Drosophila melanogaster: one gene and its partner. The protein of the gene in region 2 interacts with the protein of the main gene of each other region in a pairwise test. Each region holds a gene or a part of one and is shown on either strand. Other genes may lie near its edges. The genes, in order: CG15546 and Srg3.

Region 1 (4,493 bases), on a different chromosome or scaffold from region 2:
ATAATTGCCGCACTTGTTGCAATTTGCTGGCTGGACAATGGGTGGTTGGATTCCACACCCCGTTCCAAGACAAGGTCAAGCTCAAGTTCAACACGCGTGACAATTGGTTGCAACGCCGCATAATGCCCCGTTTCCTTGTGAAACCGCTCGGAAACCCCACCAGTCGCGATTTAAACTGGCACTTGGACTTCAACTTGACTGCAAGCTTGGTTGGATTTCCGCTGGCTCCTAACAATGCCACCTCAATGGCTCTTTCTTTCTGAAAGTTTTGTGAAAGGAGCTAGGGGCAGGGACCTGCGAATGCCCCAGCCCCAGCCCCAAAATGGGCTGGCCAGGTGAGCTGCCCAGAGCAACGGACTTGATTGCCAGACTAGCAAATTGTTGGGAATTTCAAATGAGTCGATAAAGAAAAGCCGCGCGAAAGGGTGCCTCGAATTACATTACGGTCTATGAATTACATACTAGATCGATTCATAATATTGCCAAACAGATTACAGGCCCATCAGTGAGCTTGAGGTATGAATAAGTTTCTATTCACACAATGCACACAATGAATAGCTGCGTTGTATTCATGGCAAGCCTTTCCAAGTTCAATGTGCGCCTGCTTTCGATTACCTCGATATAAATATATAACAACTTGAACTTCACTCTCTTTCATTATTAGTTTGAAAACTGAATACCAAACGAATTGATTAAGTGCCCATGTATATTTTTCTGTGCCTATAGTAGGTTTTTAAGGCTTAATTGAATATTTCCCGATTCGAAATTTATTTGGTTATATATGTATTAGTTTATTAGCATATCTCTATCATTATAATTATAGATTTTTCTGCGTTGGCTTTAAAAGCTAAATTAATACATGATCGTGGTGCACAACAACAGCATCGCCGACAAATTAGTCAAGATCAAGGTTTGTTTATGTATGTATATTCAACCGCTCGAAAACAACAAAAAAGCCGACTCATTCATTCGCATGTGGGTGAATTCAGAGTTTGTATGGGATCGTAAAAGTAAAAACTAAAAAAAGGTTGAGCTGCTGCTGTCGCATCAACTTGCTGCTGATGTGGCTGTTGTGCTGCAGATGTTGTTGCTGCTTCTGTTGCAGTCGCTGTTGGCTTTCAATTAGCAATGCAGATTGTTGCTGTCGACTTACTACATAGAGAAATATTTGTAATACTATTTCATCCTAATGATTGTCAAGCAGATATTCTTGTATGATCTTCTTCATCGCTTCAGTTATATGTTTTTGCACTTGCATTTCTCACTGTGTAGCTGCACTAATCACTGAACACGCGAACTGGAGCCCTCAGTCCGGCAGACCCACGCTCACTCTCTGCCCCGCTGAGCTGCGACGCGCCTGCGCAGTGGGCGGCGACTGCGACGCCGTACCGCCCACCATCAAAGCGTCGCCGCTGAAGCAGAGGCTGCTGCGCAGGTGTTTGCGAGGGTCAGAGGGCACGGGGGGATCTTCGTCGATAGTGTGTGTGTTACCCACTCCGGATTGGGTCTGTGGCATTTTTGGAAAGATTTTCCTACCATTGCCGTTGGCCTGATAATTATTATTATTATTTAATGGCTTGCTCCGACTAGTTTCCATAAAAGAGCGTTGATGTTGCTGCTGCTGCTGCTGCTGGCGACTTCCTGTCGGCATATTTGGCTGCTGACGGTAGCGAGTTTCGTAGGTGGGCTCCTCACGATCCTCGCGATCCTCCCGATCATCGCGATCCACCCGATCATCGTAGTAGGCGTACTCGGCAGCCTCCTCGTTGTAGGTCACATGCTTTTTGGGCAGTCCGGGACTTCGGGTTAGTTGCAATCTTCGGACTCGACTTTCCAGATGGTCGTACGGGTCCTGATCCTGTGACGTTTGCTTCAGTATCCTTTTGGGCAGGGGCAGTGGGCGTGGCCGCCGCCACTCGGGACTGTCGTTCAGGGGTTTCTTGGTGACCTTGGGCTCCAGTTCCACGCTGAAACTGCGCACATTTCTTTTGACCTGCAGCTTGGGACTGTTCTTGGAATTCAGTTCCACTTCGCGCTTGTCATTCAAGTCCATTTGTGGTCTCCTGGCGTTATTTTGAGTTAGGTTATCTGCTTCGTTTACATAATCGTAGAACTGGATCTTGGAGCTGTAAGCCTGCTGGCGACGGCTGCTGGTGTCCTCAGCTTTGTTATCCGATTCCTGCGGTCTCACTTCGGTTAGTTTTGGGGTTATTTCTCTGCGTAGACCCCTTGCCAATGAAGGTTTATTTCCAGGATTAGACTGCAGATTATCATAGAACTGTATGGAAGAACTGGCAAACTCCTTGTGAAACATTCGCCGTGTGTCCACTTCGTCGGATACATTCTGATTGGAAGTAATCCTTTCCACAGGCCTCTCCAGCTGCTGGCTGTTTCTCCTCTTTGCTCGGGTTTCCACCGCGGAATCCGCTCGGGAATCGTCTGGCCAGAAGAAGTGCGACTCCTGGCGATTGCACACCTTCACCGCCTGGCGCTCCACCATTTTGGGCGGCAAGCCCGTGTAGAATTTTCCGTTCAGCATGGTCGCCCAATCTTCGCCGGATTGGTGGTCCACTCGACTGATCGGAGACTGGTCCGCAAACCGACTGACACAAAAAGAATCCGTCGGAGGCCGGAGAGCACATAAAATGGCTGAGATGTTGGCGTCGCCATCGGCGTTGTCATTTGTCGTAGGCGTTCAGTTTCGTTTGCTCAGGTGATCAACCAGGCCCCAGACTAATTTGCGATTCTTGCGAAAAATAACTCGAGAAGTGAGTAAAAACGAGAGTTTCTGTGTTTATAAACTTTTGGATACTCTACGAATTGGAAATATACAGCATTTAATTATATTTCCATATTCGATTTCTTCGAAAGCAAACAGTGCGCTGCATTCACTGCAGGCAGTTTGGAAAATGACACACTTGTTGGTTTTGGTTTTTAGCCTCTCGCAAGATTTTTGAAAATACATTATACCCTTTTGCAAATTCTTCGAGTGACTTATTAACAACAAACACAAACAGCATCGAGGCAAAAATTTATTTGCTGCCAGTGCAGCGTGGACGTTGGCAGCGAAGTCGACGGCGCAGCGGCAGAGACGAGTTTCCATCTAAGGTCAAACCAAATCGCGGCATTTTTCACTTTTGGAACGAAAAGTTGATTTTCGTGAGCTCAGCGTTGACCAAATGTTTTGGTTTTTACTTCGCTTTTGGCCTGTCCGTTCGGACTAAAAAGCCAGAATGCCGCCAAAGTTGGCCGACCAAGAATAATAAACGACAACAGATGCCAATTATTGGGTGCTTTAATGGCTTCAACTTCAACGTACTTTTGGCCGCAAGTGAGTGTCACTTGAATGATGCTCAGTATGGCCGACACTGCGTATACGTAACATTACATGGCTGAAAGTTGAGAGGAGCTCAATACTCTGACACAATGTCGTGAACAATGCACTTTGAAAAGGAAAAGCGAAACACCAGTAAAACATACCAGTGTTTATTTAATTAAATTAAATTTATTTTCTCTTGATCTTTACATGGTTTGCCATTGGAATGGAGTGGGGAGATGTGTGGGGAGCTTTGCTGATGGACACTACTACTGCTACTTATGTTTTGCTTCCATTAATTCATTTTATTTGGTTTACCTCCCAGGCTGCGTTTTAGTCGAAGACGTATTTGGAGTACGTAATAAGCTTAATGTACAAACAATGCCATAGAAACACATACAATATCATACACGTTCGGTTTGCATACGGGTCTATGTGGGGATACTACTCTGGAGGGTCTGAAATTGCGAAACGGCGAAGTGGCATATCTATATATCTCAGTGTGGTGGCTGCTCATGTAGATGGGTACCATATACGTTCTGCGGGGGGATATGTTAGGTTGCTTAGACTACGTTTGATTTTGAGTTGACATCGCTGACACGGGGATCTATGCTTTATAACCTGACATTTACAAACTTTGTTTTTTTCTTTGTTTTTAGTTTTTAGTTTTGCTGGGTAGTGTTGTTAAACATATACTTAGGGTTGCTCTCGGCTGCTTAAGACTTTATTTACAATTCGTATTTATAGCTGATTGGCCAGTCAGTTAGCCTTTCTCTTCGATGGTGCTTACTGCTGCTGCTGTTGCTGTTGCGGCTGCTGCTGCTGCTGCTGGGGGGGCAGCAGTTGCATCGGCGACATTACTATTATGTTGGTGGCTCCTCCGGCTGCGTGGCCATAGTCCAGCGGCTTCTGCATCGCCTCCACATCCAGATCCGGGGCACGGGTAATCACGCAGTACTGGTTCCCATTGTACGTGACAATGGGCATGCCGTGCTGCATGTTGCTGGCGTGCTCGCTCAGCTGGGCCTGCATATACGTGGCGGCCGTCGGCGAATTGGCAATGATGTGCGACACCGGCACCGACACCTGGATTTGCAGGGAAAAGGGGTAAACGGAAGGGTAACAGAATACAGAATGCGGAAATGGTGAGTTTTTTTTTTTGGTGTTCAATGTTGCT
Region 2 (5,919 bases):
CTATCAATGTAAATGCGTAAATATCAACGCATATGCGTTGTATTTGTGGAAAATATTACGCTTTAACCACATATACACACACCCCCGCTTCCGGTGGGTGTTTTTTTTACGCTGGAGGGGGGAGGGTGGTTTACTCACCTATGCGCTGGCCAACTGGAGTGGAGAAAACATTTCCCAAGGCGCCAACGTTGAAAAATGAAGCCATCGTGGAGAAGTTTCTTATTAATGCTCGCCGTTGGGTTGCAGTGCGGTTAAAATTGTTCTTTATTTACTTTTTGTTCACCTGGATGAAATGTTTATGCACTTGTCTACAGCAGAGTGACCATGGCTGGCCTCAGCGAAAAATACCCACAAAGAAATGCATTACAATAAGTGGGTAAATAGGAATAGGTTTTTTTCCAGGGCTGCAGCATTTTATTTCATTTTATTTAAAAGAATTATCCACAGTTTTTGAGATAATGACATAGTTATACCCGTTACTCGTAGAGTAAAAGGGTTTATTAGATTCGTTGAAAAGTATGTAACAGGCAGACCATATAAAGTATATATATTCTTGATCAGGATCAGTAGCCGAGTCGATCTGGCGATGTCCGCCTGTCTGTACGTTTGAACGTCGAGATCTCAGGAACTATTTAAGCTAGAATGTTTAGATTAAGCGTGCAGATTCCAGAGACATAGACGCAGCCCAAGATTGTTGACCCATGTTTCCATGACCACTCCAACGCCCACATTAGATTGTTCTTAGTTTTATTGTTCACCTTGCACCTTGCACCTTTTGGATTGTAATCACACCCACATCTTTAAACAATTTTAATTTTTTCTCATTTTATTCGCAATCCGACTAGCTGAGTAACGGGTACCTCATAGTCATGGTTGTTCACAGAGCGTGTTATGTATCTCAAAAACTTTGTAATTTCAAAGAGTTATTTCACAATTCATTCCACAGATTTCGTGGATAATGAATTTTCGATTGTTCAACCTTGCACCTGTCTCAAAAATGAGCTTTCCGTCAGCGGTCCTTCTGACGGTACCGCTGGCGGTCCCACTGATGGTTCCGCTGATGGTCCCGTTGATAGCCCCACGGACGGTCCCCTTGACGGTTCCGCTGACGGTCCCTTCGATGGTTCCGCTGCCGGTCGTGCTGACGGCCCCGTCGACGGTCCGGCTGATGGTCCCTTCGACGGTCCCGCTGAGGGTTCCGCTGAGGATCCCGCTGAGAGTCCCACTGAATGGCATTGGAACGAACTCGTTGATGACCAATCCAATGACGGTCGCGCTGACGGTCCCGCTGACGGTAGCGCTGACGGTCTGGCTGAGGGTCCCGCTGAAGGCTCCTCTAGCGTTCCCGCTGACTTTCCCGCTGACGTTCCCGCTGACGTTCCCGCTGACGTTCGCGCTGACGCTAACGCTCCTGCTGACGGGCACGTCGTCGGTCTCGCTGTCAGTGATCTCCATGTCGACGGCCCAGATTTCCGAGGACAGTTCATAGGATTCGTCCTCTGAAAGAAGAGAACGTAGGGTATATTAGTGAGTGAGGCTTTGAGACTTATATTTTGATAGTCCCGACTTGGTTAGTCGGCTAAACTTCTCTGTTCCAAGACCCATAATCTTAAGCCCATTTAGATCTAACTATAAGTTGCATGATTCTTACAGAATATTGTGTTCTGACTATAATAGTCATTATCCTATTATCTGTAATCTTTGCTCTCTGCCGCTCTTAAAGCAATCAATCAAATCAATCGGTGCATTATTCACAAATACGACGCAAAATTTGTTTTTGGTTAGATTAAGGAATATATGAGTTAGCGGTTCCAACAGGCTGATAGGACAAATCATATGCCTCGCACGTAGGGTATAAACTGAGAAGAAACGTGTTTTTCCCCGGAATTCTTTGCGACACATACAGTTTGTCAAGAAACTGTTTACACACTGTGAAATAAGTTGAATTTTTGACTTTAAAGCTAAAAATAAAGGGTTTTTTGCTTAATTAAACGCAATTTTTTTATAAAATATAATTAAACAATATTTATTTTACTTATAAATCAAAAAACAAATTAAAAATATTAAATATACAAGAAAATAAACAACAAATTCCAAGTTTACACACTTTTGAGACTGTCAAGAAACTCTTTACACATTTTGTTTTCCTACTTTGTTTTGTTCTTTTTCTTAGAACGAACTCGATTTTTCCGTTATTTTTGGCTTTACATTGCTTTTTACAACGCTTCTATTGAAATTTGTTGACTTTGCTTGTGAAATTTTGCTGATCAAACGTGCTTAAAGCGAATTATTAAATTTAATAAAATGCCTGGAAAGAGATTAACTTTTGAAGTTACCCAATTAATAAACTATAACCACCAGTTGGGAAAATCTTTTCCAGAATTAGTATAAATGTTTCCTGTATCCCGTAAGACCGTCTACAATGTTTTAAAAGGCTCGGAAAAAGAGGGCAGGCTTGAACCTAAGAGTGGTGGTGGGCGGAAAATTAAAATTAAAAAGCGTGTAGACCGCTTTATTATGCGAATAGTGATTGCGAACCCCCGAATCTCGGTCAGATCACTTGCTCTGGATATCAGGCAAGAATGTCACCTAACTGTGTCACACGAAACTGTGCGCCAAGTCATCCTACGCCATAGGTACTCTTCAAGAGTTGCAAGGAAAAACCCTTTGCTATCAGATGCCAATATTGAAAAGCGTCATTTATTCGCTATGAGCATGATGGATCATGCGGAAGAGTACTGGGATGACGTCATATTTTGTGACAAAACAAATATGATGCTCTTTTATAACGACGGGCCAAGCAGAGTATGGCGCAAACCGTTGAGTGCGCTAGAAAAACAAAATATCATTCCAACAATAAAATTTGGAAAAATGTCACTGATGGTTTGGGGCTGTATCACCAGCCGTGGAGTGGGAAAACTAGCCTTAATTGAGAGCACAATAAATGCCGTGCAATATCTAGGAATTAAAAAAAAAAATTTGAAGGCCAGTGCAGAAAAATTTGGTCTAGTTAGCAACAACAAGCCAAATTTTATGTTTTACCAGGACATGATAAGAAACATAAAGAGTGCAATGTACGCACCTGGCGCCCTTATAACTGTGGTAAAGTGATCGATACGCCCCCTCAGAGTCCTGATCTGAACCCCATTGAAAATTTGTGGACCTACTTAAAGAAGAAGGTGGCAAAAAGGGACCTAAAACACAACAACAGCTTATGACTGTAATAGTCGAAGAGTGTGAAAAGATCCCGTTTGAATATGACCTGCAAAAACTTGTCCAATCCATGAAAAAAAGGCTTCAACTTGTAGCTAAAGCCAATGGGGAACATACTACATACCAAAACTTTTAAAATTTTAATAAAATAATTAAAAAATTTAGGTTTAAACTTCGATTTAGTGTTTTGTGTAAAGAGTTTCTTGACAGTCTCAAAAGTGTGTACACTTGGAATTTGTTGTTTATTTTCTTGTATATTTAATATTTTTAATTTGTTTTTTGATTTATAAGTAAAATAAATATTGTTTAATTATATTTTATAAAAAAATTGCGTTTAATTAAGCAAAAAACCCTTTATTTTTAGCTTTAAAGTCAAAAATTCAACTTATTTTACAGTGTGTAAACAGTTTCTTGACAAACTGTATGTATGTACACTTGCCACACTTTTTGGTGTTGTAATTATATCTTTCGGATCAGAAACCTCGCAATTTACGTGGCATTATAATTAAATATATTATTATTATTAAAATGTAACGAACATTATCCAAAATAAGATACAAATTGAAAAAAATACGGAGAACTAGAGTTCACTAAAATTATTAAAGGTTCCATAGGTTTCATACCTATGGCCCTAATATTGGAGGAAATATTTCCCATTGCGGTGGAGTTATTTATTATAGTTATTTTCACTGGTTATTTTATGTTATGGTATTTTCACTGGTGGAAGTACGGAGACTGAATGATATATGTTCTGCAGCCATGCAATATATATAAGTACAATTTATTAAATTTTTTAATCTAACATTGCTGTGGTGAGTATGGGGGTTGGGTCATAGCGTTTAGTATAAGTATTTTAAGTTAAGTACTTTTCTTGAGTGACATGGACTGGTAACATTAACATATGGCACAATATTTTAATTATTTTTACAAATAGCATTTAATTTTAAACTAGCATTAATTTCTTTTTATATTTTTGGATACCCCGTCAGAAGGACGAAAGCACCGGAAGGACAGAAGGACAGGAGTCATCGCCGGGGATAAATTGGAGTTTTGCAGCATTTAAATATAGCCGACTGTCCCACCCACTGTCCCTCCCACTGAAATCTTAATGTTGCAGATCTATTGCAGAAATCTTATTGTTAATAAAGCGGTTCATGACATGGATTGGTTGTGGTATTGGTACTAAAGAGGGCGGATCTTAAACTCCTCCCACTGTTATGTTATTATCTCAAAAACAGTGGAAAATTTTTAATGATTTTTTAATTTAATGAAATATTCCTGAAATGTCCTTAAGGTCTGAGGAGTTAAGGTTTGAGGAGGTCTAGCGTGCAAAATGTTGGGGAGCCGATTATTCTATCGCATTATTTTTTTACTTTCTTGAGCCCTATAAGTAGTACATAGATAGTTAGATCTGCCATTTTGAAACATTTTTGCATTTTTATTCTTGGGAATTTACTCCCAAATAACGTTAGCGCAAATTTATTAATTAATGTATTTATTAAATAAATTTATTATACTGATAACATATTAATATAGCAAAAAAAAATACGTTTTTGAATATATGTGCATTCTTTTTAAACTGCTGCACACATTTATTATTTTTTTGGACTCTTACAATACTTTTTCAAAAATTTTAAATATAACTGCGACTTTGAGCGATACTTTCACTTTTCCCGTGACGCCAACCGATATGCACAGCGCTTGCAGCCCTGGCCAATTTTGATGTGTTTCAGCATTGTACCCTGACAACCCTGCTCTGTAAAACTAGGAAAAACAGAAAATTTTATTTTCAATTGTTAAATATCCAAACGTAAACAGCCGGAAAATGTCACGACAAGCCTCTCGTTTGGACGCCAAGAAAGTGGTAAGTTGGCCAAAGAAGAGAGAACAGCGCAAGATCGGTATCGTTAGTCATTTGGAGGCATAGATCTAGTTGTAAGGTTAGATTTGTGCCATAGTGCCTAAGAACGAATCTTTGACGTGCCATCCACCCTCAAAATCGGCTTCATTCACTTTTCCAGTAAGTGTGTGTGTTGGGGGCTTGAGGTTGAGACACGGACACACAGACAGGCACAAGCCGACGTGCAATCAGGCAATGGAAAACCATTTCAGCGCCACCAGTCGCCCCTCAGCCACGCCCAGAATGTGCACCACCGCCTCTGCCGTCGGTGCTGCCGCCAGCGCCGCCGCCGCCGCCGGCAACAACAATAACAACAGCAATAGCAGCAGCAACAACAACGCAACAACCGGCAACAATTTAAGTGTTAGCACTGCAGCCGGAGGAGCCACAAATGCCGCAGCAACGGCACAACCCATCCAAGTGATACCAATGCCCATGCTGCCCACCGGAGCGGCGCAAATCATAATTGGCCAGCAGCCACAGGGTCAGGCGACGGCGACGGGTCTGCAGCCACAATTGATACCGCTGCAGGCCAACCAGATTATGCTGCAGGCTGCGCAGCAGCAGCCACAGATGCAGGTGATGCAGCTGCCCGATGGCCAGACTATATTCTATCAGACGCCCACCATTGCCGCCTTGGATCCGAATGCAGCGGCCAACGCCGCAGCTGCCATGGCAGCCCAGCCGACGCCGCACTACCTCAATATCAATGGGCAGCTGGTGCAGATCAATCCAGCACCGAGCGCTAATCAGGCGGCACCCACAGCTGGGCAACAGATTATAATGGTGCCGCAGACAGCGATGGC

What was found.
Region 1: the proteins of Srg3 (region 2) and CG15546 interact in a two-hybrid assay, tested with the Drosophila melanogaster proteins (one large-scale study listed by BioGRID).

The regions. Positions count from the first base shown.
Region 1 is NT_033777.3:30,873,596-30,878,088, forward strand, and holds CG15546 (uncharacterized protein), read right to left. Parts: upstream 2,592-4,493; 5' UTR 2,540-2,591; coding exon 1,307-2,539; 3' UTR 770-1,306; downstream 1-769.
Region 2 is NT_037436.4:9,441,282-9,447,200, reverse strand, and holds Srg3 (Sting-regulated gene 3), read right to left. Parts: upstream 3,970-5,919; 5' UTR 3,871-3,969; coding exon 3,837-3,870; intron 1,500-3,836; coding exon 916-1,499; 3' UTR 813-915; downstream 1-812. Other genes in the region: CG3529 (uncharacterized protein), read right to left, coding at 139-205; Nf-YA (nuclear factor Y-box A), read left to right, coding at 5,309-5,919; Bet3 (blocked early in transport 3), read left to right, coding at 5,039-5,077.